Astyanax mexicanus: one gene and its partners. The protein of the gene in region 1 purifies or fractionates together with the protein of each later gene. This does not show direct contact. Links are inferred from orthologs where the notes say so. Each region holds a gene or a part of one and is shown on either strand. Other genes may lie near its edges. The genes, in order: cdca5, pds5a, pds5b and smc3.

Region 1 (6,913 bases):
CCTCTTTCTGTTTCCGGCACTGGATCTTCTTTCCACATTTTCCTTGATAGGCTCTGATGGTACCTGTGACCAAAAAAAAGCATGGTGTGAAGAAATATATGTATAATGAATGAAAACAAGAACAGTGCTTATTTATCAATGTGCTTATTTGTAGTTACCTGAGTTTTCCTGGGTGCAATTTTTCGTACAGTGATGGAGCGTTTAACAGAAACGCGTGGAACCTGAAGAAGCAAAGAGGCATATAAATCATTAATAACATAATATGCCTAAAGGTTTGTAGACACATAGTCATATGCTTTAAAAGCCTATCCTCTCCTGGAAAGGCTTTAAACTAGGTGTTAAAATCTTTTCTGCAATATTTTATTGCAATTAGCCACATTCACATCAGGTACTGATGATGTGATACCTGTCCAGCGCAACCCACCGCATTTATATAAAAAGAGTATACACACTGTGTGCAACTGAATGCTTGTTTAAGCAACTTGCGCATCTCAAAGTAGCGAAGTTTTCTAATCAGTGGTATACGAATGCTTTTGTGCATCTGGACCTGAGCATGTATACCAAACCACATACGATTCTTAATGTACACAACACAAATGACTGTACTTTACAGAAATTATAAAGAAAGAGACTGGCACATGGATAAAATATGAATTCTTGTTACTCTAAACTTGGTATGTACTGATAAAGCCCAAAGTTGTAAAGTTGGTGGAAAAGTGAACAGATTTGCCTATTAGGGCTTTTGTTTACTTCTAATGATGAAGCACTACTTTTAAATACTACTTCTTGTAGTAGTGTGCTGTTTTCGATGCACCTTTGTTTTTTTAACATATTATTCAAAAAAGGTTTTACAGTAGGTCAGATTCCTGTAAAATAATGTAATCTAGCTTTATATTTAGAGAATAGTTTAAACAGTGAACATCCAGCAAAATTCTCACCTCATCTTTGGGGGGCAGGTTTTCTTCATTCCCCGACAGCCTTGCTGATCTCCTTCGCTGTTGGCTGCCTTCATCTGTTTCTAAGAACACAATGCACAACTAAACTTACCCAAACAAAAATGAAATGTCATAATAATTTGATTCAGCAACTCTCAAAAAGATTTTCAAAAGTCAGTTAGAGTGTTACGTTAAATTCTAAGAGTGTATTATGAACTATTTCATGATATTTTAGCAATATAATGAAGAGGACATCGCTAATGAGGACATTGCAACATAACACTAGTTCAACTACTGCCAAAAAATGTACATTTTATTATGTGCACTTTATTTATGAAAGGTCCCAGCAAACACACTTAGACTGTGACAACCTATTGTTTGGTGCCTAAAACACTGTCAGACTGTACATTTATTAATAGCAATGCACTAAATATTTGGAAGTAAATGCCTTTAAAGTTTGCCAACCAAAACTATTAATTTAAATATCTGTCAGAATGGAAGCAATTAGACTGGAATCTCATTTAGTTCTGTATTTCTTATTATACTTTTACTTAACTTCTCAAAATTGGTACTTCTGCGATTGCTTTGTCTTAACAATGCATTGCTGATTAGGTTATTTTGTTTTTACAACTGTAATTTTGTTCTCGTCTGGCCAAGAAATTAATTTGGTTCAGCCTAACTTTATATTAACTATTAATTATTATTAACTATTAATTATTAACTAAATTAGGTTGTGACAACATTTCTCAACAAACATAAACAGAACTACCTTTTAACAACATTGTAAAACCATTAAAAGAAAGTAGACAATGCTTAAATTAGTTGTATGTTTGTTGGAGAGCTTTCAGGGCTTATACTGTCTCGAATAAACAGTTTAACATGTATAAACAATACATTGCTTTGTGAAAATGAGTTTTTGTATTGCTTAATATAGGGATGTGCCATATAATTTTGTACGCAATTATATCGATTTTATACCCTGAAATATAGTGCCATATCCAACCTTTTATCACATCAGGTTACTACTTTTTGCTGTTTTCAGCAAAAGAAAAATAAACACTGTTTTCAATCCCTGTTATATATCTACTAGAGACAGATTATAACTGTGCAGCATCATTTATTTTACTTTAATCCTGGATATTTGAAGTGCTGATATCTAAATTAGGTGTTTTAGGGGTGATATTTTGTGCAACAATATAATTTCCTTTTTATTTGCCGCAGTAGTGTAGAGTATTGTCACACAAATGCCATGCAATATCATGATATTGTCTTAAGGGCCATATCGCCCACCCCTAGTTTAATATTTACACTAATATGTAAGGCTCCCTTTGTTGCACTTTTAAGAGAGAGTAGAACTGAAATGGTCTAATGTTAATGTTAACCTAGCCAGCTGGCTAACTGTTATGTAAGAGCTTGAGTTCAGAGAAGGAGCAGTCCACAAAAAGCACACATTGGTTCCATTAATTTCTATTAGATAATCATTAGCTAGCTAACTAAGACACTCGAACCTATTATTAAATTAACATATTTTATCAGAATCAAACAGGACTATAACATATAAGTTAACCGAGCTAACAGTTAGTTAATTACCACTAGTTAGTTTCTTAACGCTAGTAAGGTTAGCTAACGTTAGCTAACTACCCAAACAGTAACTTAAGCTAACGTTAGCTTATGACAACACAGCGTTAAAATAACTATAATATTTAGCTAGCCTGGCTAAGCAAATGAAATAGGAGTTGGCCAACCTAGTTAAATAACTTAGCTAGTTATTGTATTAGTTATGACTCTGCAGTACAGAAATAAAGAGTTATCGTGGGCTGGTTCAGTTCAGTCACTCACCTCTGCTTTTTATGAGGCCAGTCGACGCTGACCGCGGTGTCCTGCTGCTCATTTTTAAAGTTACTCAAAAAAGTCAAAAAGTAGCGAGCCTGCTGCCCACAGAAAACGCGAACACATAAAGAAATATGTGAACTCCAAAATTCCGCGCTCGGTTCAACTAAATTCGAGATATTTCTCTCACTAGAGAAACGCGAGCTGCCCGGCGAGCTTTCAAAATTACCCGCCTTCCTAACAGAAATGGCGGAACAACAGAGGGACTCGATTTGTGAATGAATCGTTTGAGTCGGTTCATTTGAACATTTTAATTTCAAGCTGATTCGTAACGTCCCCTTCAGTTCGGTTACACGTGAAGGATTACAATGATATAATAATAATTTTACTGTTTTACTTACACAAAAAAACCCACAAATATCATGAAATGCGACACTGTAACATTACAAAAATGCGTGAGTTTAACCAAATCCGACGTGAGATTCATTAAAACGGACAAAAGAATCGGTTCGTTGTAGGAATCGAACTACTCATCTACCAAGCTCGTTTAAAACATTAATTAATTATTAAATATATAGTGAGTGATTTTTTTATTTATTAAAAAACAATAGAAACGTCAGATAATGCGTTCCTGACTTATAATAAAATATTATTTCTAAAATATATTTAGAAATAAATGTAACACAAGTTAAAAATAGCGTCAGTTCAACCTTTAATCCGGTAGGCGGCGCTGTTTGTAACGTTGTCGTTTAGAAAAAGTGGCTGTGTCCCAATAATTGAATAAGTAGTGTGCTTTGTTCGACGTTCTCTGATCTGTAGCTCATGGTCCCGTTTAATATAATGGCATAGCTGGTGGGGATGTGAATTTCCAGGTTTGTAGATCAGGCAAAACTAAGAAGAGCAGGCAGTAAAGACGCTGTACCAAACAATTTAAAATAGACGCTCACGAGTTATTATCAAATTTCGCCCCCTATTTTAAGAAATACTAAGTTATATATTTTTAAACCTTTTTCGACTTTGCATCCATTGGACATGTTATGTTTTCTACTTTCTTATGTATTTTTTCACTTCACACAGATTAAGACCTATTGTCCACCAGAACAGACATGTATTATTGAAAACAAACAGATGATTAGCCCGCCCACTGCATTGGAAAACTAAAAATCTGCTCACTAAGGTAAAACATGGTAGCATCCCTGCTAATGTGGCAGGTTATGAGTTTTTTATTGCTTTGTAATTTGTAATATATATATATATATATATATATATATATATATATATATATATATATATATATACATATATATATATATATATATAATAATAATAAAAATAGCATTGTTGATCAAATGACTGCACTGCAATAAACAGACAAAATACAAATATTATGTTTAATTTCTATTTTTTTATGTATTTATTTACTGAATTCTGTTTTTGAGTACATTACAGACATAAAGAGCATTTAGATATCTTATTCATCATTAGAACAGGTTAGGTCTTAGAGTGTTGAAGAAAAAGTATCTGAAAACATGTAATTTCTTTTAAGTAAGCAAATAACACCATTTGGTATAGAATCACATACTCTTTTAAAATCAGTAATTGAACTAGTTCCGAATTTGTTGCAGAATTCAGATCAGAGTAAGACATACAACTGTGATTGGCTAGAAGACTTTAAACAAGAGCACACAGAAGTGAAGGCTTTACAGGAGTATTGGGACACAGCCCATGTGCAGTGTGATGTCATTACTCTGCGACTGTAGCGGAAGAGACGTGGCAGAAAAATGCTTCCCGATAAATGCATCACAAATATGAGTTAGATTAGCTGGACCAGGACATTTTTCACAGTTCTGAGCTTCAGTTTAAAGACACGGAGCTTGACTGAACCCGCGCTGTCTCGGTAAGTTTAGTAATGCCTCGTATTCGTCCCTGATTTTACTCTAACGGGGTTTTGACAGCTGGGGTTAAACGCCCCACTCTAAACACAGCTAACAGGCTAACTTAGCCAACTAGAGAGACAGGTAACCAAGCGATCTAATATGCGATAACAAGACACTGAAAAATCATACAGCTTAATATTTCTTACCCACAGCGTTAAAGCTAGCTAAACAACATACCTACCTATATAACCTTGACACAGGTTTATTTACTTTGTTATTTTAGGTGATGTATCCCCCCCTGCTCCATACATAGGGTACGTCTACTTAGGGCGTGGAACAGCTGATTCTGAAACCAACTATTTGGGAGTAACTTAATATACCTACTAAACTAGCTTGCTAATTAACATTTGATCACACTGAGGCCACTAATTTGTTCTGTACTTTTAAAAGAAAAGGATGGGTGTGTTTCTAACCTAGCTAGTTGATGTGGTTATATGGCTATATGTCAGTGTATTGTCTTATTACTGTTTTTCCTTATTTATTTTTTTTAGTTTGATAAAAGCCCACTTTATAAAACATTAGGTTACAGTCCAGTTGGCCTTCGTTTAAAGTAATTTAATGTAATAAAATATTAAACATCAATCTATGTTTTTTATCTATCTGTTTTTATATCTGTCTGTCTGTCTACCTATTTATCACCTATTTATTTATTTATCTTTCTATCTGATCAGTTATTTAGTATCTCAGATGTATTAAACTCTACTAAAGCCTGAGTAGAATAATCAATCACTGTGCTAATCAGTTATTTATGTCAGTTTCCTATATGACGTCTGACAGACATAATTAGGCATGTTTGTGTCTTTATTTTCATGCAACAGTATGTACTGTAGAAAAATGCATAGGTTGTATATGGTGATAATGTAAGGGTACAGGCCAGTTGTCTCTGATCCCTTTCTATGGCCTGAAGGTATTACTTAAATTTGAAAGAATGTTTCCGTAATAATCAAACTTGGCTCAAATGTGCAGCCACCAACTTTCTATGTAGTGTACAACTATTTGGGGCATTGATGCACTGACATTTGTTTACACTAATTTCATGTGTTTGTGTACAGTTCGACAGGCAGACCATGGGTCTGTGTAAGTGCCCGAAGAGGAAGGTTACAAACCTCTTCTGCTTTGAACATCGGGTCAATGTTTGTGAGCACTGCCTTGTATCCAATCACAGTAAGGTCTGTAGACTGATTATTGTGTATACAGATCTCACATGTTGGCTGTCCGCCTTGTTCACCTTCAAATGTTGACTGTGCTGTTCTGTTCCGCTTCTGTGCAGTGTATAGTACAATCCTACCTGCAGTGGCTCCAGGACAGCGATTACAATCCCAACTGCAGTTTGTGTAATCAACCTCTTATTTCCCAGGACACTGTGAGGTTGGTGTGCTATGGTGAGTCAGTCCTTTACATTATATTTCATGGCTAAATCAGCATGTGCATGCCGTGGCTAGATGAATAATACTGCTTAGCAGCAATGGCTGGTTATAATACTGTGTAAGGGTGTTAAAGATAACTCCTTAAATACAAAGTCGCATCACATGTGAGCTGGGGGCCTTTCTCAGTTAGAGGAATGGAATGATGGTTGATTGGTTGGACATGATGCAGCTTTTTGCACCCAGTTGAGGAAATCAGCTATACAGTAGGTTTGTCACGATAAAAAGTTTGTTTGGAGAATATATTTTTCCAGAAAAGATTATGATAAACAATAGTATTGCCATTTTAAGCCAATTTATGCCACAGATATAATGATGCTATAACAGCGTTATAATGCAATTAGACCATTTTAAAGAGCAACAGACTTTTCATTATGAAGAACATTCAGCCATCAGAATTTAAATATTTTTAAAAGTATTCTAAAAAAATAAAATAATAAATAAAATCAGCTCATTAAATTAATGGGTTCTCCTTAAAAAAACATATTGGAGAAAGCAAAGGTTCAGCAAAAATCCATGTCACAACCATGTATTAAATTATATGTTGTATGTATGTATGTACCTTAAAATGCATACAAACATATAAAGCGCATTTGTCTGGAATGTCTGTTAGAAACTCCAGCTGTTCATGTAGAGCAGTGGTATCAAAATCAAAATGTTAGATAAGCGGCTATGTTACATACAGTACAAAATCAGATGGACTGGACCTGTTTTTGTTGCATCTGCTTTGTTCAAGAAAAGATTTCCGACAGCATGAAATTCTTAGAAGTTGAGTCTCTGCTTGCCC
Region 2 (7,282 bases), on another chromosome or scaffold:
GGATAAAAGTAAGCAAGCAATTTAAGAAATCATTCTTTTCATTACCTTCAAACATGATAGTTCAACCACAAACTCATTAGTACATGGAATCATTTAAGAATTAACTCCAGGATGAAAGAAATACGTATCTGTTTTTTTTTTCAGGCAAACTCAATTTGCCTATTTACAATTTGTAAAACAAGCAACAGAAGGTCCCACTGTGTGTGTACATGACCTTAGCTTAGCGCCTGCTGTGAACAAGTAAACTTACGACATTTCAGCCCCACCCAACGCGTAGCTATACCTGCTGTTCTGTACTGCTGCCAGCTCTCTATTTACAACCATCAGACTGTCAAACAGTTTCAACTTACAATTTATTCAGCCTCAACACCCACAGCATTTTATGGAAATATGCTTTTAAACAGTTTTCTATTGCAGTTACTACTTCCTGATATTTCAATTTGTTTACAAGCTATTGAATACATGTTGTAAGGCTTGACTTTGGTCATACAGATAATCTACCAGCTACATAACTTGCAATACACATTTAAGTATTTTGCTTTTTGCTAGCTGTACGACAACAGGTTTAGTCTTGGTTGTATCCCTATCCGGCTAGCTAGGCTCAGAAAAGTTAGCTAGCAAACTAAAAACACCAAATTACAGACTGTGCTACAACTAAATGATGGTCAAATTCCTACCCACTTCTGATCTCTATTTTGTGTGTATTTATATATAGCATACACTATGACAATCATGACCACTATTATGCAACAATTTTTTATTAAATACTGAAACATACCAGAAACGACTAACAATATATACTCAGTACCTACCAAGTCAATTTAAATGAATTAATTTTAAGTAACATGCCTATGTTATTACATGTTAACATAAAATGTGACAGTAAAAATACTACAGGTTGTCTAACTACACATTAGCTAACTACTTAGATCACTGGCCAATCTACGGTAATGTAAAGCTTTCCAAAATTCTGCAGAGAACTCTATACAGAGTGTCTGTTATTGTGAATGTCGGCACACCAAACATCACATGATCAATAACAGCATACAACAATATAATATAATTGTGTCATAATACAAATGTGTCACTGCTGTAGAATATGTATAAATATCTAAAAACATGTACTAAGCTTCTGAGAGAGACCCATTCTTTCTCTTTGTTTGTATACACAGGAAAAGAACCAAAACAGGACTGAAGCATCTCTACCCATTTCTGAATATTGATACCAAGTTCAAAATTGAGTCACTAAGGAACTTCATGAGTTTATGAGAAAGTGTTGCCCTCGGGCAACCTATCATCTTTTGGTTATTACACCATACCATACCTTATTATTGATGTATTTAATTTATAACGTTAAAAGGAATACAATGGGGTCATAAATACACATATGCGGAAAAATATGTAAAAAACGATTTTACACTATGTAGATCACTGTTGTTAGGACCATCATGATAAAGCAGCATAATAATAAAAAATCCTAAAGACAAAGTCCCAAAAATATATATATTTTTTTACTTTTTGCCAGAGTTTGCCATGTTGTTATACGGATTAAACGTTAAATACGTTGCTTTCTTACCTTTAACCGTTTAACCACTTCATCGTTGCTGATTTTGTCCGTTATCTCCTTAACTCCGAGCGGATAGATGATCTTGCCGTCCGCCCCCGGCGGTCTCTGCTGCTGAGGGAACTCCATGCCGCCAAGCGCTGATGTCCCACACGGTCCTATACCGGCCTCTATGGGCAGGAAAACAAAAGTTCAGCGAGGGATCCGGCCGTACTTTCACAAAAACACGTTTTAAACAGCTCACAACCTCCCAAAATCTGACTTTACAGCCTGTGGACACTGAGTAGCCTGTCTGCGAAACCGGGGCGTGCAATAAAACCGACTCGGATCCGGTCTGAGAAATTTACCGAGTCAAAAACCGAGAAGCTAACGAGCTAAATTAGCTAACCGACCAACTGCCCTGAGAGAGAGCTATAGCTAGTGGCTAGCTATCGTTAGCTAACACGGCATGTCCAGCAGCCGCTTCCCAACACTAGTTAACGTTAGTTAACCTAAGATCACTAAACCAGCCCTGGCTCCAGCCACCGAACCGCGGGGTTAGCTGATAAAATGAACGCTAAAAATGGAGAAAGAGTTTCTAAACGTTTAAACCAAAACAAGCCGCTAGGTTAGCTAAGCTAGGCTAATTCAGAACCCGCCGACAATGCAAAAGCTATGATAGTTAGCTAACTACATGCTAATATTAGCTAGCTAGCTAGCTTTTCTCATTAAAACAGGGAAGCTGTGGCCTAGCATACAGCGCGCTAACTACGCTAAGCTAACCTAGCTAGGCCGCAAACTACCTGAATTCACTTAACACTTCAATTTCATCAAATCAATACAATCAAAAACACAAGTTTTCACACGTCAAACCGACCTCCACTCACACCCACGGCTCAACAGCACCACATTCCCAATTTACCTCAACTTTAGCTCGCAGAAAACAACAATTATCTACTTGTTTGCCTCTCTGTGAGTCCAACTCAGTGAGGCAGCAGCAGCATCTTTCCCAGCTCCGCTAACTACTACTACTCCTTGCACAGTCAGAGGCGCAGCCACTCACCGCCGCTCGCCGTCCCTCACCCCGCGAACCAGCCCCCCAGCGCGGCTCCCCACAGCCCGGCGACGCGCTTCTTCCACACACACAGTCAGCTTTCCTCCCCTCCAAACTAACCCCGCTAACTTACTGCACAAACTCCCCCCAACGGCCCGGCTCCACTCACAGCCCGGCCAGCGCCTCTCCCCCGTATTTACCTCTCAAACAAGTTGTTTTAATTCATTGGGCAGCTCCAGGACTGTGGGGTTTTTGAGTTTAGGCACAAAGCTGCCTGTCTTTCACACACAGCAGCGCTGTTCCGATGTCCTCGTTCTGAAACCTGGAGCCGCAGCGCCCCCGTCGGTCCCAACGCCGCCTCGCAGCACAACAACACCGAGCCCGGGCTGTGTTCACTCCCACAAACGACTCCGGAGTCGACTCCGGACGGAGCTCCGAGTTACTGGAACCAATGGACTGAGTCCCTAACGGTACGCGTCCACTGGCACTTAAGCCCCGACGCATCCCATTCATTTCAATGGAGAGAGCCGCCGCATGCCGCGGTGCATACTGGGTTGCGTTGCGTTGAGCGCAGCCCCGCCCTCCGGCAGGAAAGTTGAACAGATCTCAACTTTATTCAAATGAATCCGGCCGCCGCGCTGCGTCCAGCCAATCAGGGAACAGCAGGCTGCCACACCACACACAGACGAGCCTCACACACACAGAACAGGCGCCTTTTAAACACAGAAGAGAGGCTTAAAATGGCGGAATATGGATTTATACAACTATAGATCACAGTGAAGTTGACTAAAAAGGTAAAATATTAAACTTATGATTGACTACATCTGTTGCTTCATTTGAATTCAAAAACGTTACGGACACGCCCACACGCGGCGATCCAAGAGATCCGGCACGGCGACCTGCGTTGAAGAAAAGTGCCAGTGGACGCGTACCGTAAGGTGATATCATGTAAAAGTCGTGGCGACAACTTTTTAAAGCGTGGGAACGAGATACATAACTCGTGGGGAGGCCTTATATGACCGGAACTTAAACATTTTCTTCACACACCGAACTTGTTATTAGGCTTTAATACGTAGTGGCCCACACTTTAATACGTAGTGGCCAAGCATTAGAATCTCGTTCCCACGCTTTACTACATAGTAGCCAAGCATTAGGATCTTGTAACTAACTACACTTGAATAAGTAGAGGTCAAGCATATTTTCACATTATTGTATACAATAATGATTATATTTGTGCATATGTTTTAAGTGTGATATTTTCATATATAGTTGTATTATTTATGGTGAATATCTATCAAGTCAGTCAATCAATCTGTCGGCCAATTAGTTAGTTAGCTAGTCAGTTAGTTAGTTAGTCAGTCAGTCAATCAGTTATTCAGTTAGTCAGTTACCTAACTAGTCAGTTAGCTAGTTAGTCAGTCCGTTAGCTATTCAGTCAGTTGGTCAGTCAGTCATTCAGTTAGCTAGTTAGTCAGTCAGTTAGCTATTCAGTCAGTTGGTCAGTCAGTTATTCAGTTAGCTAGTTAGTCAGTCAGTTAGCTATTCAATCAGTTGGTCAGTCAGTCATTCAGTTAGCTAGTTAGTCAGTCAGTTAACTTAGTAAGTCAGTTGATTAGTTAGTTACTCAGTCAGTCAGTTTGTTAGTCATTGAGTCAGTCAGTTATTTAGTCAGTTTGTTAGTTAGTCAGTCAGTTATTTAGTCAGTTTGTTAGTCAGTTATTTAGTCAGTCAGTCAGCTTGCTGCGGTTTCCGTCTATTCGCTGGGGGCGCTGTGAGATTTGGGGCTGTTTTGATTGTGGGAGCTTGCCCTAACGCTAATGGTGGACGGTTGGGTTTGTGGTCAGTGTGGTCAGCGGTGGTTCTGCCCGCAGCCCGAGCCTGAAGCGCGGTCGGCACCATGCCAAAGAAAAGGAGGAACGGACACAGTCCCGGCCGGGGTCCGCCGCACGCCGCGGACATCGAGGGAAGCGGAGCGATGAGACGGGCCGCCCCGCAGAACTCCGGCCCCGACCCTGGGTCCATAGAGCCCGGGTACCCCCGGTCCAGCGCTCAGAACCGTGAGGAAATCGTGCTGAGCATGCAGGAGATGTTCTCCCACCTGGACCCGGCGGTTATTCACCTCCTGCTGTCTGAGGCAGACTTTAACGGTGAGTCTGGGCCGCTGTCAGAGTCAGGTTACCTGAAAGTTACTTAGCTAAAAGTTAGTTAGCTTAGCTTAGCTTAGCTTAGCTTAGCCTAGCTAACTAGTTAAGTTTGTTTACAACAGAACAGAACCCCCTGTTTCAGTTTTTTTTACCTACAGGACATTAAACTCATTAAACTATCTAACTGTCTATAGTACTATATTTATGTTATACTATATTTATGTAGTATAATGTATTTATCTCCTCAAACTCCTACATACTCTGACTTCTGACTGTTTATTTACACACTACAGCTGACAGGGAACTACAGTACCAGTCTAAAGTTCGGAAACTTTTTCTCATTCAGTGTTATTCTTTATTTCTTTATCTAATTTACTTCCAAAATTGTAAATTAATATTAAAGACATAAATACAATCAACCACTATTTTCACTCGGGAGTACGCTGAGGGTTACCCTCATTTGTAGTGCAGCAGAGCATTTACAACTTAAAGAAACTGGAAAGGAAAATAAACTTTAAATCAAGTATTTCATCAGGTTAAACTAAAATAAGGAACTTCATGAACATTACAATAAAAATTAAATTACAAAAGCAATAAAACACAAACAACTGAGATTGAGTTAAAATAATGTAAAATAAAAGGATAAGTTGACAGGCGAAATATAGTGGTCAAATCAAGAAAGAAATAATAAAAATACAATAACACACAAAATGAAAGATAAAGAAAGTAACCGGTAAAAATAAAATAAAGTAAAAAAAAAAAAAAATGCCAATAACTAATGGAGAAAATAAAAAATGGACGAAACAAAATGAAGAAAAAGTTAAATGAAAAAATTCAACCAAAACAGTTACAGGCTGTCTGAAGGTGGTTAGAAATTAAAAGTTTAAAAAATATATTATTGACACCTTTAGTGACTTGCGCTTTAGTGTTTCCTGTAGTGAATTTCGGCTTAGAATTTCGGCTCAGAAATCTGAGAACACTCTGATGTATAGTGTATATATGCCCTGAGAAATGCGAATCTACTGTGGTTACCATGGGCTGAGAAATCAGATTACTGAGCTAAAATCTTAATAAAATCTTACCCAGATTACTCTGTTTACATGACTGCTTGAATAATCAGAACAGTTCTATAATCAGATTATGAATGTGCACTCACAGTTATCATGTCCTTGTATTTCAGTGGAGAATGCAATGGATTCTCTGCTAGAACTCTCTAATGCTGCTGAAACTACTACACAACCTTCAGGGTTTGAGATGGCAGCTGCTCTACTGGACCGACAACCCCGTACGAATCAGATGGAAACGAGCAAGAAGATTTCAGAAGGTTTCACAGGGCCAGACAAAGTAAACCCACAGCGGAATCAGAGCCCAGAGACGACACATCTGACGGAGGAATTTGATTATCTTCTTGATCAGGAACTGGGAGCTATAACGGCACTCCAGGGTCCTTCTGGCACCCAGCTGGCCGTACTGGACCTGCACCTGCTGGATGTGGAGAATGATTCAAAATCAGGGTCTTTAAGCTCTGACTCCAGTACCACGCTGCCTGGCCAGGCCCACCGAGGGGCATCACCAGTAAACGAGCTAAGCTTTGGAGGGGCAGCTTGTCCCAAAGAGAACAATGTTTCTGTGGACTTCAGTCATCTGACTGAGGATTCCCACTCCAGGCCTTCTGCCTTTAAGGCGTACTGCCGGCCTGGTACATTTCCAAACCGCACCGGCCCAACAGCCCATCCTGAAAGCCTACACACACCTGCCATGTTCTGGAACATTAAGGCTCCAGTGTTCCAGCCCCGTGTGGGCAGTCCTGGTCCCCGGTTTACCCCTGTAATGAGACCCCCTCACCCTTGGAATGGCCATCCCTTCAGCACTGCACAATGGCTGGCCAGCAGGCCCGTCAGTCAAGCTCCTCTAAAGCCTTCAGCCACTGTTCCCAAGTCCTGGACCCTCCCTCCTGTGAGTAGGCTCATACTGGAGGGCCCGGTATTGGTGCTGCTCAGAGGTGCTCCAGGATCAGGCAAAACCACACTCGCTAGGTAAGCCTGTTTTTGATTGCTTTATGCGGTATTTTACCTATACTAAGTATGTTGTGTTGAAATCACATTGCACTTTATCTCAGCATGTTGCATTGTATTCCAATTAGCATGTTCACCAGTGTGGCCAGTATGTTAGGTTGTGGCACAAAATGATTAGTTCTTTATAAGACCAAAGTGTGTGTGTGTGTGTGTGTGTGTGTGTCTATGCTCTAAGAGTGTGTTCTGTCTTGTCCTCTGCAGTGCCATGTTGGAACATAACCCAGGTGGGGTGGTACTAAGCACAGATGAGTACTTTACCCGCAATGGGACGTATCATTATAATCCAGATCAACTGGGAGAGGCTCATTCATGGAATCATGTGAGAGGTGAATTATACAGGATCATTTCTAGTGTTTTATTCAATGCTGATGTGTGATTTTTCCCCAACAATTGTGCAGTTAGAAGTTGTGCTGCATTATATTTACTGTTAATATTATTAATTATCCATACTCAACACAGTTAACAA
Region 3 (7,163 bases), on another chromosome or scaffold:
ACAAATAAGCAAAGAACCCAATCCCAATGCAGAAGGAGGAGTCCCAAAGGTTAATACCAAGCAGGCGATGTTTAATTTGCATTACATTCTTTAAGAATTCTATAAGAACTCATACCAACCCATTTATGACTTAAACCAAATAGCTTTATTAAAAAGGAGGGAAAGGAAAAAAAAAAAAAAAAGAAAAACAAACACACATTTAATACTTGTGCACTGTGTACGGTCAATCGTGCAAAATCCTCATTTCCAAAACAAAAACTTTACAGCAGTGAAAAAGATTTTAACTTTCATTGAAAGTCAATGTAAAAACACCAGATTCACAAAGGACAAAGAAATGCGACAAAAACAAGATACTAAAACATGTTTTTGCATTACCCAGCGCTACAGACCGAAAACCACACCTCGCTAACAGGGTAACGGACTGAACCCCAAAACCCACAACCAACGCGCCAGACTAAACGCCAAACCCCGCAACCAGCGCACCAGACTAAACGCCAAACCCCGCAACCAGCGCACCAGAATAAATCCCAAACCCCGCAACCAGCGCGCCAGACTAAACGCCAAACCCCGCAACCAACGCGCCAGACTAAACGCCAAACCCCGCAACCAGCGCACCAGAATAAACCCCAAACCCCGCAACCAGCGCGCCAGACTAAACGCCAAACCCCGCAACCAACGCGCCAGACTAAACGCCAAACCCCGCAACCAGCGCACCAGACTAAACCCCAAACCCCGCAACCAGCGCGCCAGACTAAACGCCAAACCCCGCAACCAGCGCGCCAGACTAAACGCCAAACCCCGCAACCAGCGCGCCAGAATAAACCCCAAACCCCGCAGCCAGCGCGCCAGAATAAACCCCAAACCTCGCAACCAGCGCGCCAGAATAAACCCCAAACCCCGCAACCAGCACGCCAGACTAAACGCCAAACCCCGCAACCAGCGCGCCAGAATAAACCCCAAACCCCGCAGCCAGCGCGCCAGACTAAACCCCAAACCCCGCAGCCAGCGCGCCAGACTAAACCCCAAACCCCGCAGCCAGCGCGCCAGACTAAACCCCAAACCCCGCAGCCAGCGCGCCAGACTAAACCCCAAACCCCGCAGCCAGCGCGCCAGACTAAACCCCAAACCCCATAACCAGCGCACCAGACTAAACCCCAAACCCCGCAACCAGCGCACCAGAATAAACCCCAAACCCCGTAACCAGCGCACCAGAATAAACCCCAAACCCCGTAACCAGCGCACCAGACTAAACCCCAAACCCCGCAACCAGCACACCAGACTAAACCCCAAACCCTGCAACCAGCGCACCAGACTAAACTCCAAACCCCGCAACCAGCGCGCCAGAATAAACCCCAAACCTCGCAACCAGCGCTCCAGAATAAACCCCAAACCCCGCAACCAGTGCGCCAGAATAAACCCCAAACCTCGCAACCAGCGCTCCAGAATAAACCCCAAACCCCGCAACCAGTGCGCCAGAATAAACCCCAAACCCCGCACCCCGCAACCAGTGCGCCAGAATAAACCCCAAACTCTGCAACCAGCTCTCCAGTCTAAACCCCAAACGCTGCAACCAGCGCGCCAGACTAAACCCCAAACCCCGCAACCAGCGCACCAGACTAAACCCCAAACCCCGCAACCAGCGCGCCAGACTAAACCCCAAACCCTGCAACCAGTGCGCCAGAATAAACCCCAAACCCTGCAACCAGCGCTCCAGAATAAACCCCAAACCCCGCAACCAGTGCGCCAGAATAAACCCCAAACTCTGCAACCAGCTCTCCAGTCTAAACCCCAAACCCTGCAACCAGCTCTCCAGACTAAACCCCAAACCCTGCAACCAGCTCTCCAGACTAAACCCCAAACCCTGTAACCCACACAATAGACAAAAAGGTTAGTTAGCTGCAATAGGTAATGTATTTATATTAAATAAATAATCCTCTGAAACCATTTGACAGGTGACATTTAGGGGTCTGATTTGAAGGGTCTGATTTTTACCAAAGAAAAACGTTCGTCAGAAAACGGGCTTTTTGTGATTAATCTGAATCAAATTGGATTCGTCTAAACCTGACAAGAGTTTTATCGATAAACAGATAATAAATGTGAACATTTATCTTCACAATAAAAAGGGGCTACATACATGACAGCTAAGCTAACCCCTCAGACCCTCAGCTACAGACAGCAGTTAGAGAGCTAGCTTAGCATCTACAGCTAACCCATTTAAAAACACCTCTCTAGAGACAGATAAAAAAATCAAAAAGTCTTGAAGCTATAAGAAGGGACCGATACGTGAACATAAAGAGGTGCAATTTTTCAAAAGCACAAAATCTCTTCTTTTGGAATTAAATAAATAATAAAATAATGAAAACCTTACCTAGCTAAGCTAACGGCTAGTTAGCATAAACAGCTAGCCCTTCTTGCTAGAGATCAGCTCTGGCGCTAACGCTCAACTCAAACAGGCGCTCAGGCTGAAAAAATTACACATTAACCGGATAAATCACCAAAAAATCCATATATTTCCCCTCAGCCTGCAGAGAGAAGCCGCTTCTCCTCAGTTTAACCGGATCAGAGAGAGATAGAGATAGAGGGAGGGGGAGGGAGAGGGAGAGAGAGATAGAGAGAGAGAGAGAGAGAGAGAGAGAGAGAGAGAGAGAGAGAGAGAGAGAGAGAGAGAGAGAGAGAGAGAGAGAGAGAGAGAGAGAGAGAGAGAGAGAGAGAGAATGGACCTCAGTACAGTTTAACCGGATCCGCGCTGAAATAACACAACAAAGCCCCCGCGCGCCCCCCGGCAGCCGAGCCTCCCGCTCCCCGCGCACACTCCGCCACTAAATCCCGTAACTCCTCACCGAACAGCAGCTCCTGATTTTAATAAAAATCTACCTGATTAGAGGAGCTGCAGTCCAGTCTCTTCTCCACCAGCTCCCCGATCCTCCTCTCCGCTTCAAAATGGCGCCAATTTGTCCGCTGGCTGCACCAATCCAGCGGCCCCTTCACCTCACACAGCCCGGGCCAACAGCGCCACATGCAGGACGCGGCGGGAACTGACACACCAAAACACCCAGAACAAAACTAAACCCCTGCAGACTCAACTAAACCCCTTCAGGCTAAAATAAACCCTGCAGACTACAACTAAACCCTGCAGACTAAAACTAAACCCTGCAGACTAAAACTAAACCCCTCAGACTAAAACTAAACCCCTTCAGACTAAAACTAATCATAAACCATTCAGACTAAAACTAAACCCTTCAAAATAAATAAATCAGACAGGAACATTCATTATAAATTCAGATTTAAAGATCCAGACTCAGACTAAATGATTCCTTCAGAATATAATATAACCATCAGACTAAAACTGTCAGACTAAAACTCTCAAACTCAACACTTAGAATTAAACCGTCGACATAAACCCTTCAGTCTAAAATCCTCAGGCTAAACTCTTCAGATTAAAATCATCACATTTAAACCCCTCAGACTAAAACCTTCAGGCTCTCTCTCCGGCGTTTGTCCTTAGACTTATATAAACATATATAAGTCCCTTACAACAGGACCAACAGACTAAATGCTTCAGACTAAGCAATTCAGACTAAGACCTGTTAGAATACAACTCTCAAACTAAACCCCAAATCCATTGACCAAAGCAACAGACTAAACCCCCTAGACTAAAACCCCAATCCCTGCTGCCAAAACAACAGTTTTAAATCCAAAACCTGCAGAAATTAACACAACCAACTAATCCCAAATCCTACCACCAGGGTAATAGAAATGTATTTAGTATTATAATTATTATATGATGTAATTTTATAATTTCTGTTCTCATCTTTATATGTAAGCTGTAGGCAGTAAAGGCAGCTGTGTTACAGGTGATACAGGTACCGATTACAAACCCAATCTTACCTCCAAGGTTTCGCTTCTCTGAAATGTAATCTAATAAAGACTCTACTAAGGGACATCCATGGGGACACTCGTTTAGAACAGGGAGACAGAACTGAGTGTACGAGACATCTAGTACCTGTAAATGACTTTATCCTCACGAAAGCATTTGGCTAAAATTTTACCTGAGAGTTTATTTTTTTTCCTTTCAAACAAAAGTGTTAAAACATCCACGTTTTACAACAAAAAGAAAACAGCAGTGAATGTAGCCATTGGTTTATAAAGTCAGTGTAAAAGGACAAAGTGTATGGTATCAGTTTTTTATTACAGTCAGTAATTAAACTGGACATTATGGACATTTCTTCATTAATCAATATAAAGACAGTGGACAGAAATACAAAATCACAAAGCTTTGTGTGTACACAAATTTCCAAAAATAAAGACCTGAACTGAGCATAATTCAAAATGTCATACAAATTTAAACATTATTTACAGAAGTTTAAAAACACAAATACATGTCTACTGACTAAATAACAAAAAAAGCTTGTTCCAAAGTTCAAGTAAAAAATATATATTTATTATTTTCTTTGTCTGATAAAAGATTTAAAAGTTATCATATTTTCTCTGTCCATAGGGTTTGGAAAGGCGCTCTTTGCTTTTATGAGGAGGCTCACAGGAGTTCATCACGATGTCCACACTGATAGGCAGCTCAAATCGATCCAGCATCTTTGCTATAGTGTCCCGTGGGACCCTATGTGTATTCCTCCTTTTGAAATGAATCAAACACATTAAATGTATTACTCATTATCTGTGTCCATAATATTAATTAAGGCCAGCATGCTCCAAAATTAATTACAAATATTGTTCCCCTATTTTTATGCTTTAAAATAGTTTGACATGCAACATAACAGGAGGGTTAAGTGGCTGGGAACAAAAGAACATGATTAAACACATTCTTTAGAAGAAAAGTCCAAAAATATTTTGACATAAAGTGAAGAATAAGTAACAACAACACAATATCCTACTTTAATTTTGATCAAAAACATTCTGAAATCAGGTTCACTTTTGTCACTAAACCACTAAACATTGTCTGAGATATTTTATAGATAAACACATTCATAAGAGAGATTTGGGTTGGTTTAGGAGGGTGCTGGGAATCTTTATCAATCAGAAAGTTTACATTAAGATTCTTTATGCCTATAAATGGGTCACATGCAACCAAAATTGTTTTTTCTAGGGCAATGATGCACAAACCCTTTTTTAGCATCTTTATTTTTAGGAGTGGAGTGGGCTTTTATGCTCCCAAACTTTTAAGAGGACATGCAAAGAAAATTTACTTGGCACATACATATTGGGTGCCCACAAGACCAACAGTCAGAGCCTTCCCTGGGATACTCAGGTCTACATAATGCACAGACTTACTTTTCTAACTCAGTGGGATCACATTTCCATCGTGTGTCAGGCTCAACAAAATCTACTCGATATCCACACTCCAAAGCCTGCAAAAAAATAAAATAGCACATACAAAACAGTCATAAACATTACCATACTGAAACAGGAATAATAAACACTGTTTATTTGAAAATTCTACAGACATACAGGTATAAACACAGTTATATTTCATATTTCAGGAAACCTATAGGATAGCCTGGCATTTTTTCTGATAACTTACCAATGTAACATAGGGCTTCATTTCCCAGGCCTGAACGTTTGTGTTGTCAATAATAACAGGTGAACGTCTGTCCAACATAGCATCTCTTGCTGAAAAAAAAAAACAGAATATACGGCTAGCTATGAAGCTGAAAATGTAAGAATATTCAGTACAGAGCAAAGCTTTAAAAACAAAAACATAAACACTTTTGAATATCTCATTCTAATACAGACTGCAATCTAATCCAAGTAACCAGTTACACCAGCTGAAGGTACGTTAAATTGTAGGTTACGATAAAAAATATCCTTAAAACACACTCAATGCAGTGAGTTCTAAACTAGTAGATTTAGGGTACGTCTAAATTAGTACTGCATGAACTGACTACATTTTAACATGACGATGTAGCCAAACTGTTTAAATTCTCTCCCATATAGAGCACATTATGTATATATGGAAAATCTGATGTTTAAAAAAATATGGTCAGTTGGTCAGTGTGTGTTTTTCACTGACAATATCCACGATATGCTCAGAAATATTACCATTCAATATTTTCACACTGTTCACCTGTATTTGTGAGAGCTCCATTTCTTTCTTGTGTTTCATATCTCATGTTAAAAAAGGGTCTCCGCAATATGTAATTCATGTTTTTATGTGATAACTTCTGTAGAAATAAGTAATACCTCTCTTTTGATTCCAGTCATGTGCATTCCCAAGTAAAGTAGGGTCAAAGAAGTAGCTGTCCTCTTGGAAGAAGTAATCATCAGTGCTCAGTATTAGACCATCAGGACCACAGGACAATATTTCTCTTTAAAGAAAATACAATAGTCAATAGTGTTTTGAAGGGAAAAGAAAGGGATGATGTAAAAGAAGGTTAAATGTGCGGAATTCTTAGTTAATGTAAAATAGGATGTTAATCACAGCAAAATTCTATATAATATATTACAAAAATGTATGGTATTATATATATATCGGTGTGATATTGTAAATAAAATGGATTTTCCATTTAAAATAATGCATTAATACAAGGGCCACCAATTTTACCCACAAAGAGGCTGGTGTGACTGATGATTTTTATTCAAATCAAAAGTACACCTCAACTAATTGAGCATTTGAAGCCAACAGATTATACAACTGTAATCAGGTGTGCTTCTGACTGATTGTACAGCCGCTCTGAAAACTCACTTTGCCAGAGTTGATTTCCCACAGCCTGGAAGTCCTCTCATCAAAATCAAAACCGGAGACGTGCCACTGTTACGCTGGTACTGATCTCGCTCGTGATAATGCTGTGTCTTATAATATGGCTGCCAGTCAGCTGAACCTCTTCCTCGCTGTTCAAATGACTCAGGGCAGTTTGATGCAGAAAGTCTGATGTCATTACGAAGAGGAAAATTGGTCCTTTCCCAGGAGCACCAGCTGTTGGTGTCATGGTGACTGTAGTTGTTAATAGGAGGCAGGAGATGCAGAGGTGGTGTAGGAGTCTGAGGTATAGGTGGGGGTGGAGGTAAGAAATGACGGCGGCCAGGAATTGGAAATCGTGGTGGGTCATGTGGAAGCCTTGGTGGTGGAAGATGTTGCCACTGACTTGGATGGCTGTTTGCTGCATCAGGACCGTTCCATGTAATTTCGTTATGTGGTTGAGGCTTCCATG
Region 4 (7,113 bases), on another chromosome or scaffold:
CACACTGTAAAGGGTGGCATTATATTAAATTATATTCTCAGTCAGAGCTCTATAAAACAATCTGATAAACTGAGTCAGAAAGTGCAGATTCTTAACTTTCACCAGTGTTTGTAATATAATATAGTACAAATTGTCTTTGGCATATTTGATTTGCAAAAACTATAGAATATAGATGTAATGTAAATCTTGTTTCACTACTGATTGTAATTGTGTAATTACATTTAAATGACATTTGTATGAGATTATAATTAATTTATTAAATGATAATGTATTATATTATATATATATATGTCATAGTAAGACCATGTGATGAATTATCGAGTTATAAATTTTACAGTGAAGCTTAAATTCAGCAGAATGTCAGTAATAATAAATTAGAGTTACTTTATGAACGGTTTCTGATCCTCCTCTCTCTCTGTCTGTTTAGACGAGGTGAAGCAGGAGGGGGGTAAAGTGCTGGTTCACTGTGAGGCCGGGATCTCCCGCTCGCCCACCATCTGCATGGCCTACCTGATGAAGAAGCAGCGTCTGCGGCTGGAGGAGGCTTTCGAGGTGGTCCGGCAGCGCCGTACCATCATCTCTCCCAACTTCAGCTTCATGGGTCAGCTCCTGCAGTTTGAGGCGGAGGTGTTGTCCTCCACTCCGCCGTCCGCTCCTCCCGCCACCGCGCCCTGCCAGCAGGAAGCCGCCTCCTTCTTCAACAGCAGCGCCGCCGGCGACGCTAAAACCGACAGCAAGTTCTCCTTCGAGGGAACCTTCGAGTCCTCCATGTTCACCTTTCCTACCTCCTTCCTTCCTTCACCGTTCAAACTCAGCCCAATCACTGCCCTGCCTTAGCGGGACCTCCCCAAGCCCCGCCCCCTCTGACTACTTGAAAGATGACAGAATAACAAGCAACAGAATGGAGGAGAAAGAGACTCTGTGTTATTTATAAAGACAGTGTTTGAGTCCGGATCCGGGAGCAAGTGTTGATTTCTTCTCTGTTGTTTGCCTTTGAAAGAGTCTGCAATACAAGCCTTAGTTTAATCATGTGATCTCTGCCTACTGATGCTGCCCAGAGCGGCGTTTCACATTAAATTATTGATTTTTTTTTATGTTTTCTTTTTTATGAAGTATAAAGATCTGTTAATAAATGTATTTACAGAAAAGTAAGCTGTTCTCATGTGTTCTTTAACAAACCAATTATTGATTATACTGTGTAAAATCATTTGAACAGTTTTTGGGCATTTTCACACCTGTAATTGCTTTCTATGGTCTAGATCAGGTGATGAGTTTGTTTATTTGGACCGTTTCTCCCTCTATTCGGTTTGTTTTCACACAGGCATAAACCTAAACGCAACAAAATACACACCAATAAACCACACAAGCACATCGTCTCCTCTGACTGGTTAGAGCTGTCTGGTGTGTGAACAAGAAAGTAAATATAGTGAGAAGATTCTGTGTTCCAGGGCATATATCTGTATATCTGTGGAGTGTGAAGCTGCTTTAATACAGAATACTGCAGTGCAGGTGTACACGTAGCAAACAGAGTTGCACGGCTGCAAGCAGTGAACGCAGCACAGACCGTGCTTAGTGTGTAAACAGCATGGAGCAGCAAAGACAGTGTTTGATCATAGCTGTGGTAATTAGTGTTATCTGGCAAATATATCAAATTAAACTGCGCCTTATCAGCATTTTAGCTCAAATAAAAAAAGTATTTTTAATATCTGGGTTGGATTGAGACCTGATCACGATCACACCACAAGAGAACAAAACGCTCCAGAGATCGTTTGGGACAGAGATCACCTCCTCTAGCAGGTCTCGGTCCAGTTGTTTTGATCTGAACCCGCGTGTGATTACTGTTTACACACCTGCTCAAACAAAAACCGCACTAAGAGTACATACCAACCAGAGTCTGTTTTAACTGTATTGAATAGTGCTGATGTGAAAAGGCCTCAGACATTATATTAGTTTGAGTAGATCACCATGATCAGATTTAAAGAGCTCTCTGAGGCCTCCAGACGTAGCTGTAGATGCAGAAGAGTCTGGAAAGAACCTCAAAAAGATCTTAGAAATAAATCATGTAAATATGGAACAACTGCAAACATTACCAGGTCAGACTTACAGTGCTAACAATGCTGAAGAGAAAACCACTGGAGTAAATAAGATAAATTTCTTAACTATTCTAGAATATCATCACAGAATCTACAGGTAGTTTTTGTCTTTACAATTAATCATAATTTACATAATCTACCAGCAGTAAGAAACAAACTGGTCTGATCTTCATGGGACGTGTGGAAGGAGAAAACATCAGAGAAAGACTGAAGATCTCCAAAGAACTCTTAAAAAAAACACCAGGAGCTGTTTAAATCAGGATTAACACTGTTTAAAATGTGAGATACATAATCACATTAAACTTTCAAGTGCACAAAAAAGGCAAACAAAAAAAGATATGAAGTAAACAAGAGATAGCACAAGCTTATCTTAGAACTATCTAATTTTGGTAAACTAGACATTCATTCTTTATTCCAACTGTTAAAACTGATCATTTAATAAAAAACAGTAGTTTCTCCAAAGAGAAAATTTAAGAAAATCTTGTTACAATCAACAAAGCTTTTTGTAGAATTGTATCATAATTTTTTTCTTAAATAATAAAAAACATCTGAGAAGCATTTCTTTCTTAAGACATATTTGTACATTTGGTCTCAGTGGATTAATTCGGATTAGATTTTAATAATATACAGAAAAAGGACAGGCACCAACCGTATACAGCAGACAACCAGTGAACAACCAGCCAAGAAACAGCCAAGAGAGATGCAACAGTGACCCCTGTTGTGACCCTGAAATTAGGTGAACATGCTTATAAAGTACTTACATATAAATCATTGTTTTACTATTCAAGTGTTCCTGATTAAAAAATAATATTTCTCCAATTAAAACTTTCCAAACTAATGTAATATATTTGTGTAAAAAGTGTTAATTATGAAAGGTTGTGAATTTAATATAAAATATCAAAATTAAGTTAAACAGAAATACAGCAATACAAAATATTATAGATGTGAAAGTAAAAAACACATTTTAAGACAAACAAAAGCAAACTGTCACTACCCAGATAGCAAAAGGTCTAAATTGTGCTAATCAATAACTGTGACTCCATACACACAGTGTGGAATTCTGCAGTAGGAGAAGAAAAAACTATATATTTGCTCAAACTATGATTTTGGCTTTTTTCACAAACAAACAAGTCAGTTCAATCTATATGTATATGCACAAATAAATGCTCTTAATGACTATATTTTTATTTGGAATTTGGGAGAAATATTGTCCATAGTTTGTAGAATAAAACAACAATATTGCTATTTATAGGTTTATATTTGTGTAAAATGAACATTATTATTTTGTCCTATAAACTACAGACAACATTTCTCCTGAATTTCAAATAAAAATATTATCATTTAGAGCATTTATTTGCAAAAAATGAGAAATGACTGAAATAACAAAAAAGATGCAGAGCTTTCAGACCTCAAATAATGCAAGGAAAACAAGTTCATATTCATACAGTTTTAAGAGTTCAAAAATCAATATTTGGTGGAATAACCCTGGTTTTTAATCACAGTTTTCACTCATCAGTCTTACACACTGCTTTTGGAAAAGTTAATGCCACTCTTGGTGCAAAAATTCAAGCAGTTCATCATTTTAAGTGGTCTCTTTTTTTTTTTTTTACAGACCTATATATATAGAGATTCGCGTGTCGCATTAACATAATTTATAAAACAGAAATAACGCAGAACAGAGGGGGAGAAATAGAGAAATGTGGGATTTTACAGTAAAACTGTCTCCAAACAGCCGCTTCTCACATTGGCGCCCAAAGCTGTCTCAGTGAGGGCTACACCAAGATCTCAAAATGGGGGTTTATTAGACTACCTATGCCATAATGTAATGAGTCCTATACAGTATTTCACACAAATATGAGGAATAATTTATTTGAAGGGATATTATAATCATAATAGGTGATTATAATAGTAGTTGTGGGTTTAATAAAGCGATAAAGACAGTGCTAGAAACCAGACTCCCCCTAATTCAGCGAGGTAAGCTCGTCCGCTCCGCTCGCGGCGCCATTTTCCATGTTATTTCATTTCTGTGAGGAAGATTTTGTGTTTTTAAGCTCAGAAACCGGATTAAATCTCGAGCTGCGGGGTTTTAATTCTTATCCGGACCTTCTTCTATCTGCAGAGGAGGAGGAGGAGGGCGCGGGAAGCGTCTTTGCAGCGGGGTTTATTCCTGCAGAGCGCAGACATGTACATTAAACAGGTGAGTGAATGGGAGGCAGCTTTACCAAGGCTAAGGCTAAGAGAAGCTAAACTATGCTAAGCTAAACTGAGCTGAACCGCATAGTTAGGCTAGGCTAGGCTACAGTTTAGAGTAGCGCTGCAGGTTAGCTAGTTAGCATAGCTACTGTAGTTTATGTAGCCATATACAAGCAAACTTCAGTTAATACATATTTATGGGACATTTTTATTTGTTTGCTCAATTTTTCATACAAGTAACGTTAACGTTAGCTAAAATAGTTAGGTTAACTAACTAGCCAGCTACGTTAGCTAGCTATATGTTTGAGGCTGAGGTAACGTTAGCCAACTAGCTTAGCAAGCTCGAGCTAATCTTCTCACCAAAATATAACCTAGTTATCGGGATCTGGGGGGTCAGACTATAACGTTAAATTAGCTACTGTTGTACTTAACTAATGTCAACTTACTGTACCAATAAACAAAAAGATGTTTAATTTACCTAATTAAAATCTATAATACCGTGCATTTGGTTTTATTTGGGTAACTAGACCCGTAACTTTAGCTTTTGAAGCTAACCTAGCTTAGCCAACTATCTGACAAACTTGCGCTGCTCTGACACAGCTAACGCTAACCTGGCTAACACTAACTTTTCAGTCTTATTACAGAAAGATAAAGTTATCTAACTGTGTGCTGATATTAAGCAATAATTTGTGTAACATTTATTTGTGTAACGTTTTTCCTCAAACATTTTCAAAATGTCCACATATAACCTAGATTATGTTAACTAGCGAACGTTACCTCTCTATTATTTTATCTTATGGTTTTCATATTAGTACCAGTTAAAAGTTTGTACACCTCTTCTCGTTTAATGTGTTTTTTCTTTCCTTTTGTGTTATTTTTTTATATTGTAATTTTAATATCGAAGACTATGTTTAAGCTATACAAGTACACATGTAGAATCATTTAGTAAACAAAATGCTTTAGATTTTCTCAGCGTCTTAAAGGATTTTCTGGAGGTTGAACAAGAGTAGCTGCTTTTCCTTCACGCTGTGCTCATTTGTATACGTTGTATATAGGTTACATCTGTTACAAAAAAAATACATGTATAGCATGCCACTAGTAAGCAATAATATCGCAAAAATGTCGTTTGAATATTATCATGAAAAAAAATTATTTTAGGGCCATATTGTCCACCCCTAGTATGCACAGTTGCATCGTATGCAGAACTGTAGAGTGTTGCTACAAACTGTTTCAGATCTTAACTCTGTCATATATAAAGTCGTGAAGGGTGATAACTAACGTTACTAAATTATACGTTTTTTAAACAACACTGTCACTTTACCCTCACTGAGACACTTTATCACGTTACTGCTCTTTCTTCAAACTATGCTGCTATAGCAGAACTTGTTTATTTTATTTTAACAAATGCTTTATGGGTGTAAACTGGACAGTGAGATTACAATTTTGCTCCACCTCATGTACCACGTGTGATGTGAATGACAACACAGTCTTCTTGAATCCTTAAACTACATACACTACTGATGTGAGATATGGGGGGGAAATTAGGATAAAATACAAGATTATGTTTTGACACAGCCAAATTCACTAAGCTTTAAAACAGCAATTTAAAGTGTACTCAGAAAACGTAGAGCTCATATGTATTAATTTTTAAAATAATCTGTACTCCCAGCTAATAAGGACATGTTTAATTACACTGGTAATAGCTAATGTAAGTGATCACAATTTGTTTGCCCCAACAGTATTCACAGTATGTTCAGAAAGATTGCTCAAAAATAACAAACTTTCAGTGAATAATAATGATAACTATATCCACTTGTTGCATAATCTACTAAACCAATTTAATGTTCAAATAGCAATGCTCCTTTACATATTGTAATGAACAGTATGAATATTCTGCCTTTTGTATAATCTCTTGTTAAATTAGCAGATAAACCCCTATTCGGATATTCTCCCATACATAATACAGTAATTTTACATATACGAATTTCTGCATTCCTCCAATTAAACAGGGGTAGTTACATCTTTGTAATGAAATGTTCAGTTGTTTCAGTGCTCTTTAAGCACTGGTGATATCCATGATAGATTTAGAAAAATAGGTTGTGTGTCACAATAACAAAATCACAGTGGGATAAGAAATTGTCGCAATACCTTATAATTTTAGTTGACGTGCAAATGTGTTTTACTACTGATCTATGATGTAATTGGAAAAGTGGACAGTGGTGTAATCTTATTGTCTTGCCCAACACTAGTGCATGATAAAAAGATGCATGATAAAATTCAGTTTAACTTTAGTTATTAAGTGAACAGAAGTAAGTATATTTATTATCATATGTATCCCCAGGTTATTATCCAGGGCTTCCGCAGTTACAGAGACCAGACTGTGGTTGACCCCTTCAGCTCCAAACACAATGTCATCGGTAAGTTATTCTCATTTTGTTGGGCTGTATTTCTCTGCAGCATGTAGCAGACACTTTACTTTTTTTACATTGTAGTTATATTAGTTATGTTGAGAGAGTATTTCTGTAGTTTACAGTTCGTTGATTCTTCCTGTCATTTGCAGAGGGAGATGATTGACTTGAATGTGATGACAAATAATTCATTATTTTAAAACCCATTCTGCCTTATTGTGATGAGTGTATGTGATTTGGATATTTTGGAATAGTGGCCACAGCTTTTCATGCTTTGTTTCATTTTCCCTAGTTGGTCGAAATGGATCTGGAAAGAGTAACTTCTTTTACGGTATGTACTGCAACCGGTATGACTCAGTGTCTTTACTATGTGTGTGCCAAATCATGTCACTTGCAATAATAGAGCTTATGAATTATTA

Evidence for each region.
Region 2: the proteins of cdca5 (region 1) and pds5a purify together in Homo sapiens (affinity purification with mass spectrometry; 4 studies listed by BioGRID and IntAct, with this or other methods). This does not show direct contact. The link is inferred for Astyanax mexicanus from reciprocal best matches to the Homo sapiens genes CDCA5 and PDS5A.
Region 3: the proteins of cdca5 (region 1) and pds5b purify together in Homo sapiens (affinity purification with western blotting; 4 studies listed by BioGRID and IntAct, with this or other methods). This does not show direct contact. The link is inferred for Astyanax mexicanus from reciprocal best matches to the Homo sapiens genes CDCA5 and PDS5B.
Region 4: the proteins of cdca5 (region 1) and smc3 purify together in Homo sapiens (affinity purification with mass spectrometry; 7 studies listed by BioGRID and IntAct, counting the BioPlex papers as one, with this or other methods). This does not show direct contact. The link is inferred for Astyanax mexicanus from reciprocal best matches to the Homo sapiens genes CDCA5 and SMC3.

The regions. Positions count from the first base shown.
Region 1 is NC_064408.1:21,133,813-21,140,725, reverse strand, and holds the start of cdca5 (sororin), read right to left. Parts: upstream 3,024-6,913; 5' UTR 2,827-3,023; coding exon 2,775-2,826; intron 1,019-2,774; coding exon 939-1,018; intron 222-938; coding exon 159-221; intron 64-158; coding exon 1-63. Other genes in the region: zfpl1 (zinc finger protein-like 1), read left to right, coding at 5,770-5,871, 5,973-6,084. UniProt on the Homo sapiens protein: Regulator of sister chromatid cohesion in mitosis stabilizing cohesin complex association with chromatin. May antagonize the action of WAPL which stimulates cohesin dissociation from chromatin.
Region 2 is NC_064432.1:20,279,010-20,286,291, forward strand, and holds the start of pds5a (sister chromatid cohesion protein PDS5 homolog A), read right to left. Parts: upstream 3,010-7,282; 5' UTR 2,798-3,009; intron 2,630-2,797; exon of another isoform or gene 2,607-2,629; intron 2,596-2,606; exon of another isoform or gene 2,466-2,595; intron 1,735-2,465; 5' UTR 1,694-1,734; coding exon 1,577-1,693; intron 1-1,576. Other genes in the region: n4bp2 (NEDD4-binding protein 2), read left to right, coding at 4,495-4,744, 5,922-6,777, 7,018-7,142. UniProt on the Homo sapiens protein: Probable regulator of sister chromatid cohesion in mitosis which may stabilize cohesin complex association with chromatin. May couple sister chromatid cohesion during mitosis to DNA replication.
Region 3 is NC_064425.1:46,070,764-46,077,926, forward strand, and holds the start of pds5b (sister chromatid cohesion protein PDS5 homolog B), read right to left. Parts: upstream 3,017-7,163; 5' UTR 2,875-3,016; intron 2,528-2,874; exon of another isoform or gene 2,369-2,527; intron 1-2,368. Other genes in the region: n4bp2l2 (NEDD4-binding protein 2-like 2), read right to left, coding at 4,468-4,630, 5,287-5,363, 5,537-5,625, 6,196-6,320, 6,698-7,163. UniProt on the Homo sapiens protein: Regulator of sister chromatid cohesion in mitosis which may stabilize cohesin complex association with chromatin. May couple sister chromatid cohesion during mitosis to DNA replication.
Region 4 is NC_064430.1:22,055,073-22,062,185, forward strand, and holds the start of smc3 (structural maintenance of chromosomes protein 3), read left to right. Parts: upstream 1-4,089; 5' UTR 4,090-4,275; coding exon 4,276-4,290; intron 4,291-6,627; coding exon 6,628-6,703; intron 6,704-6,986; coding exon 6,987-7,025; intron 7,026-7,113. Other genes in the region: dusp5 (dual specificity protein phosphatase 5), read left to right, coding at 428-837. UniProt on the Homo sapiens protein: Central component of cohesin, a complex required for chromosome cohesion during the cell cycle. The cohesin complex may form a large proteinaceous ring within which sister chromatids can be trapped.